Arabidopsis thaliana: one gene and its partner. The protein of the gene in region 1 interacts with the protein of each later gene in a pairwise test. Each region holds a gene or a part of one and is shown in the gene's direction. Other genes may lie near its edges.

The links. Proteins that work in one complex are often made in the same cells at the same time.
Region 2: the proteins of HK2 (region 1) and ARI8 interact in a two-hybrid assay, tested with the Arabidopsis thaliana proteins (one large-scale study listed by BioGRID).

The regions. Positions count from the first base shown.
Region 1 is NC_003076.8:13,914,829-13,918,584, reverse strand, and holds the start of HK2 (histidine kinase 2), read left to right. Parts: upstream 1-1,779; 5' UTR 1,780-2,247; coding exon 2,248-2,517; intron 2,518-2,614; coding exon 2,615-2,788; intron 2,789-2,893; coding exon 2,894-3,373; intron 3,374-3,453; coding exon 3,454-3,729; intron 3,730-3,756. UniProt on the Arabidopsis thaliana protein: Cytokinins (CK) receptor related to bacterial two-component regulators. Functions as a histidine kinase and transmits the stress signal to a downstream MAPK cascade.
Region 2 is NC_003070.9:24,304,265-24,308,020, reverse strand, and holds the start of ARI8 (IBR domain-containing protein), read left to right. Parts: upstream 1-1,682; 5' UTR 1,683-1,861; coding exon 1,862-2,005; intron 2,006-2,189; coding exon 2,190-2,314; intron 2,315-2,419; coding exon 2,420-2,525; intron 2,526-2,607; coding exon 2,608-2,698; intron 2,699-2,908; coding exon 2,909-3,081; intron 3,082-3,235; coding exon 3,236-3,340; intron 3,341-3,445; coding exon 3,446-3,534; intron 3,535-3,756. Other genes in the region: GTB1 (global transcription factor group B1), read left to right, coding at 1-312, 520-1,076. UniProt on the Arabidopsis thaliana protein: Might act as an E3 ubiquitin-protein ligase, or as part of E3 complex, which accepts ubiquitin from specific E2 ubiquitin-conjugating enzymes and then transfers it to substrates.

The DNA.
Region 1 (3,756 bases):
AATTAGATTTGATATCTAAATTATCATATTAATTTTTTATTAATTATTATAGTTCACCTCTCATCTTTATATGATTTTATTTTTGCAAAAAAATAATATCATCGTTATAAAAAAATAATTAGAGTTTTTTTCGCATATGCCACAATTTAAATTTAAAAAAAACAAATATAAACTGTTCAATACATGAAAAAATACTATAACGGGTCAAAAGTAGATTTAAAAAAAAATTTTACTGAGTACTGTGTTATAATTTGAATATTTATATTCAATTTCATACATATTATTTTAAAATTTATAATTTTATATACTAAAATAATTAATAACATATTAGATTTTTTAATGTGTATGATGTGATTCAATTTTTAATACAAGTTGGAAAATCCTAGAATTGACGGGTTTAAATCAATATTAATACAAGATGGTATAGTACAGGTGAAACTCTAAAATTAACAATCAAAATACAAGTATATAATTTTAAACATTAAACAATATAAATAATATCAACAAAACATATACAACTAGCAGTTTACTATACATTTAAAATCAAATAAAATAATATCATATATTTGTAATCAACTTTACAATAAAAGTTTTTAGTTTAACTAAAATATAAGCCTACCTGCTGTATAATGCAAGTTAAAATTATAAATAAGCAGATTACCATCACGATGGATGTACCTTCTCACATACACACCTATCAAAAACTTAAAACCTTTCAAAACCTCTTGGTATATTCAAATTAGGATTCTTCATTCATAGAATCATTATTCCAAGGGTTTTGGGATGTCTTATGAAATGATTTTGGCAGAAGAGGATGTAAATTTTTTTGAATAAAAGGTATTCAACAAAACATATGTTTTATTGGGATTTTTTAGATAATTAAATCAGAGAATAGGGCTGGGCATATGAGTAACCCATTCGAGTTCGGGTAGAACCCGTTCGGGTTTGGGATTAATGGGTATATGATTTACTACCTAATAGAATAATTCTAAATATTCGGTTCGGGTCGGGTCCAGTTGGGTTTGGGTCAGTTTGGATAAAAAGTTTCAGGCCCTAAAAATACTCAAAAAAATAGAAACGAGTATTTTGTATGTAGATAGTGCGTCTCTAAACAAAAAAAACTTTTAAATTTATTAAGTTTTAATAAATTTAATTATATTTGAATATATTTTACTAAATTTTGACAAATATAACAAATAATTTTGATAAACATAACAAACATAACAAAGTATACAATGTAATTTATACAAAATATTAATGCCCGTGCTATACAGCACGGGTTATGATCTAGTCCTAATATATTTTCAAAGTCAAATACAATTTTAAACAGAACTTCTTACATAAAAATAATCAGAATCATAAATGTAACTGGGAGACAAAGATACATAAACTGATAAAAAGAAATAAGATGTACATATAGAATCAAATCAATACCCACTTCTCGTAAAACCCACTCATCGTTATATTTTATACAAGATAAGATAAGACTTAAGAGTAGATGTTAAACTATGCTAATGAAGCAATTTAAAAACACCAAAAAGACCAAACAAAAAACAAATAACAATGAGTAGGTTTTAGGAGAAGCATGTATTGATTCTTGGTATAGTTGAGTTTATTTATATTTTCATTAGCCAATCACTTTTTCTAATTTAACTAAAAATGTTATAATACCTTCCCCACCTAGATGATGAGATAATCATGGACCCAAAAACCTCAGTTTTTAAAAATGTTTATTCACCAAAAGACAAAAACAATAATAATAATCAAAAGTAGAGTAAAAGAAGAGAGAAGTGACATTCTTTTTCTTTAGCTCATAATTTCTCTAACAAATGCTTCTTTTATCCAAACTCTGATCATTGAGTCCAGTTGGGTAATGAGAGACACCAGCTGGGTTTCTTTTGTTTAAGCTCACAAACATCTAAAACAGAGAAAGCTTTGTCATTTTTCTTTACCCTGAAACCATGAAAGAAGATAAAGCTTTGTCCTTTTTCTCTTTTCCGTTTCTTTACTCTCAACAATGTCTTCTTTCTCCCATTGCAACAACCACTGGGTTTGGTTCATCTTGTCCTCTTGCGTCTTAAGTAAGAAAAAAGAAAAAAGCTTTGCGTTTGGGACTATGTCACAGCTTCTTGTTCTTCTTGTGGATGGTTTCAAGAACTCAACTATGAGATTGTTGTTGATAGAGTTTTAGTTTTGGGTTTGAAGAGATCTGAATTTCTTCAGCTGAATCTGAGATTAGGAGTCGAAATGTCTATAACTTGTGAGCTCTTGAATCTTACTTCAAAGAAAGCTAAGAAGTCGTCGAGCAGTGACAAGAAATGGCTAAAGAAGCCTCTCTTCTTCCTGATTTTGTGTGGCTCTTTGGTAATTGTTTTGGTTATGTTCTTACGGTTAGGTAGAAGTCAGAAGGAGGAGACAGATTCTTGTAATGGAGAAGAGAAAGTGTTGTATAGACATCAAAATGTCACAAGAAGTGAGATTCATGATTTGGTCTCTTTGTTCTCTGATTCAGATCAGGTAATTGCATGAATTGACTTGTATTTGTTGAAATTGAGCTTTTGAATACGCACCAGATTTGCCTTAAAGTGTAACAGTTTCTCTGTATTTGTTGTAGGTAACATCCTTTGAATGTCATAAGGAATCAAGCCCTGGAATGTGGACAAACTATGGTATTACATGTTCCCTGAGTGTGCGTTCTGATAAACAAGAGACTAGAGGGCTTCCCTGGAATCTTGGCTTAGGACATTCTATCTCATCAACATCTTGTATGTGTGGTAATCTTGAACCGGTAAGATAATATTCGATTCGACAACATGTGAAGGAAATGCTTTAAGATTTGGTGTTTAGCTAGTTCTCACAAAAGTTTATTGTGAATGTGTTTGGTTATGAGTAGATTTTACAGCAACCTGAAAACCTTGAGGAAGAAAACCATGAAGAAGGGCTGGAGCAGGGTTTGTCATCGTATTTAAGAAATGCATGGTGGTGTCTAATCCTTGGTGTGTTAGTGTGCCATAAGATTTATGTATCTCATTCTAAAGCACGAGGTGAGAGGAAAGAGAAAGTACATCTGCAAGAGGCTTTAGCTCCAAAGAAGCAGCAACAACGTGCTCAGACTTCTTCTAGAGGGGCTGGAAGATGGAGGAAGAATATCCTTCTCCTTGGTATTTTAGGAGGAGTTTCCTTCTCTGTTTGGTGGTTTTGGGACACTAATGAGGAGATCATAATGAAAAGGAGGGAGACTTTGGCAAACATGTGTGACGAACGAGCACGTGTTTTACAAGATCAGTTCAATGTTAGCTTGAACCATGTTCATGCCTTGTCTATTCTTGTATCTACATTTCATCATGGTAAAATCCCATCTGCCATTGATCAGGTGATGTTTTTTTCTTACTGCTAAATACATTTTGTGTCTCAAGTTTATGTTTAAATCATCAACTTCTGTTACATTTACAGAGAACATTTGAAGAATATACTGAGAGAACAAACTTTGAGAGGCCACTTACTAGTGGTGTAGCGTATGCTTTGAAAGTCCCACACTCAGAAAGAGAGAAATTTGAAAAGGAGCATGGATGGGCAATAAAGAAAATGGAAACTGAGGACCAGACAGTTGTACAAGATTGTGTTCCTGAAAACTTTGATCCCGCACCGATTCAAGACGAATACGCGCCAGTTATATTTGCTCAAGAAACTGTTTCCCATATTGTATCGGTCGACATGATGTCTGGAGAAGTCAGTAACGTCTAAAAGTTTCTTGAA
Region 2 (3,756 bases), on another chromosome or scaffold:
TTTCACACGAACATCCAGGCACTTTTATTCTGTCTTACATAAGGAGCACAAACCCACATCATGAGTATATAGGTTTATATCCCAAGGGATTTAAGTTCAGGAAAAGGATGTTTGAGGACATTGATCGGCTTGTGGCATACTTCCAGAGGCATATTGATGACCCATTGCAAGAATCGGCGCCATCAATCAGGTCTATTGCTGCCAAGGTACCGATGAGAAGCCCAGCAGACCATGGATCATCTGGAGGAAGTGGTTGGGGTAGTTCTCAGAGTGAAGGAGGCTGGAAAGGTAACTCGGATCGTTCAGGCTCAGGTAATGCATTTTAAATTTGTTTTTTTAACTTGCATAGAAAAGCTTGTGTGGTCATTGTTCTACTTCTCGGGGTTATGTTTTAATTTAACTTCTGGTAATCTGGATTTTAGATGCCGAGAAGTATTTATATATTAACATTATTTATGTTGTCTCCTTGACTATACTTCTGGACGTCCGCTCTTAAGTAACTGTGCAACTGTATTGTAGGGAGAGGCGGTGAGTACAGAAATGGTGGTGGACGTGATGGACATCCAAGTGGAGCGCCTAGGCCATATGGTGGCCGTGGACGTGGTCGAGGCAGAGGACGGAGGGATGATATGAATAGTGATAGACAAGATGGTAACGGAGATTGGGGTAATAATGATACTGGAACTGCAGATGGAGGTTGGGGAAATAGTGGTGGCGGTGGTTGGGGAAGCGAGTCTGCTGGTAAAAAGACTGGTGGTGGCAGTACTGGTGGTTGGGGAAGCGAGTCTGGTGGCAATAAGAGTGACGGTGCGGGCAGCTGGGGGAGTGGGTCTGGCGGTGGTGGTAGTGGAGGTTGGGGAAACGATTCTGGCGGTAAAAAGAGCAGTGAGGATGGCGGTTTTGGAAGTGGTTCTGGCGGTGGCGGAAGCGATTGGGGAAACGAGTCTGGTGGTAAAAAGAGCAGTGCAGATGGCGGTTGGGGAAGCGAGTCTGGTGGTAAAAAGAGCGATGGAGAGGGCGGTTGGGGGAATGAACCCAGCAGCCGGAAGAGCGATGGCGGTGGTGGTGGATGGTGAAGAAACACAACCTCGGCTACAAATGTTGGTTGGGTAATTAAATTACGAAGGCAAAAGGCAAGACATAATAGTATAAACACATTAGTAGTAAATTAGCTTTCTCCCTAAATGCCTTTTACTTTTACTTTGATTCTCTGCATTTTTGTCTTAACCTGTCGGTATTAGTATCGGTTTATGTCTTGTCCCGACTCTTAACGTTCCAGGAAAGTCTTTTTAAGTCGATGCTTACAAAATTTTAGAATCTCGTTATCTTGAATACTTTTTGTTTGTTTGGCTTCTGTTTCACCTAAATTACATAATCAAGCTCGTAAATTAATGAACTATTTACTTATTGCTGTACCGGCATGTTCATTTTGGATTACTTATGATTTTCCATCCTTTTTGTTTTTGTGAACATGAAATTACAATTAGCCGTTATCGATCTAAACAATTCATTTCGAAAAAAAAAAAACATTTTCAAGAGAAGAAGTCGAGAGATAGCAAAACAAATTTTATTAGTTGTTGCCATATATACAACTTTATCCTAAATATTCATTGGATAAAACATTATTGCCTTCATCACCAAAAAATTTGAAACAAACGTTTTAAATATTTCTTCTAATCGTGCCTTGGGATAAAATTGGAAGGGGATTTAGTGGCTAAGCTTAATTTACCATTTTGCCATTATTCCTTTTTCGATTAAAACGTTTTCCCTTCCAAACGTCTTCTTACGAGAGAGAGAGAAAGTATCTAAAATTAAGCTTTGTGTTTGAAATCGAAATCGAATCGAGAAGAAGAGAATCTCAATGGAAGCTGATGACGATTTCTACAGCGGCACCGAAAACTACTCCGATTACGCCGACTCCGACGAAGATGACGCCGACGGCGAGTACGAGTTCGTTGACGACGCTGCTGATGATTCCGATGACCTTATCTTCCGTCGCCGCCAGGTTTCTCTTCTCCATTATTCTGGATCTACATCTTAACCAAAATTGAAATTAATGTTGTTTCCAATACAGAGATTGAAGTTTTGGTTTCTGAAATAATCGCAGGACCTTTTTGTAATGTTAATGATGATTTGAGAAAATTTTATAGATCACAATGGCTAATGAAGAATTTGTTTTTGGTTTGTAGCAAAATTATAGTGTGTTAAGCGAAGCAGATATTTGTAAGCTTCAAGAAGATGATATTTCAAGGATTTCTACTGTTTTGTCCATTTCGAGGAATTCATCTGCGATCCTGCTTCGTCACTACAATTGGTGTGATTCCAGATTCTGTTATTCAGATATTACAGCTATTGTGTGTGTGTGTGTGTGTGTGTGTGTGTGCTTAGAGGAACTTTTCATTTGTGTAAATGTTTTTAGGTGTGTGAGCAGAGTTCATGATGAATGGTTTGCTGATGAGGAAAAGGTTCGAGATGCTGTTGGTTTATTAGAGAAACCTGTTGTTGATTTCCCAACTGATGGAGAAGTATGTCTCCCATTGTTTATATTTTCATTTCGATTAACATTGTAAATTCATCTAATAGAATTCAGCTGTGTCATTTTGGCAGCTTGATTGTGGAATTTGTTTTGAGACTTTCCTTTCTGACAAATTGCATGCTGCTGCTTGTGGTCATCCATTCTGCGACTCATGTTGGGAAGGTTTGTTTTATATATTGAGACCCATTTCCAAACGTGATGTTTAGATTTAACTTGCAATGTACTGTTTTTTTTTTTTTGCTTGATTTCAGTAACTTGTACCTTATGTTTCATTTCAGTCTTCATTTGCAAGTATTGCAACATATAAGCATTACAATTAATAATGGTTCATTATTGTTGGGTTAACTATCTGACCTTTCCCCTCATCTTTAGGTTATATCACCACAGCGATTAATGATGGTCCAGGGTGTCTTACATTACGATGTCCAGATCCTTCTTGCAGAGCTGCTGTTGGTCAGGATATGATCAATTTGCTAGCTCCTGATAAAGATAAGCAAAAGTACACTAGTTATTTTGTCAGATCATACGTTGAAGACAATAGAAAGGTAAGCTAGCAAACTCAGTATGATCGTACGTTAGTGTGCATGATATTTATTTGTGTTATATTAACCTTCAAATGAAATCAGTGCATAATTTTAGTGTTCTCTATCCGTCCATATATGTGCTCACCCAGATAGTAATGCATCTTTTATGTTGTAGACCAAGTGGTGTCCCGCTCCTGGCTGTGACTATGCTGTAAATTTTGTTGTTGGAAGTGGTAATTATGATGTGAATTGTCGCTGCTGTTACAGTTTCTGCTGGAATGTAAGTTACGCTATCAGTTAGAGTTAGAATAGTTTCATCTTTCCATTGTTTAGAATTTAATTGACACAACTATACCATGTCACTTTTATCGTCATGGGTCTGCAGTGTGCTGAAGAAGCTCACCGTCCTGTAGATTGTGACACTGTTTCTAAGTGGGTATTGAAGAATAGTGCTGAGTCGGAGAATATGAATTGGTACGTTGATTTATGAGATATCGTTGAGATATGTTGTTGTTGTGCTCGACCTTAAAGGGTGCTTAGATTTTTTAAAATATTTGGGTTCTTTATAAATAGATTGTTTTCTTGTATTATATATTCGTAGTTATGGCTACCATTTTGTATAGCCAAAGGAAGCCAAAATGTTGGATATGTTTGCATTTTTAACTATAAGAAGAAAACCATTTTCGGTTTCTTCTC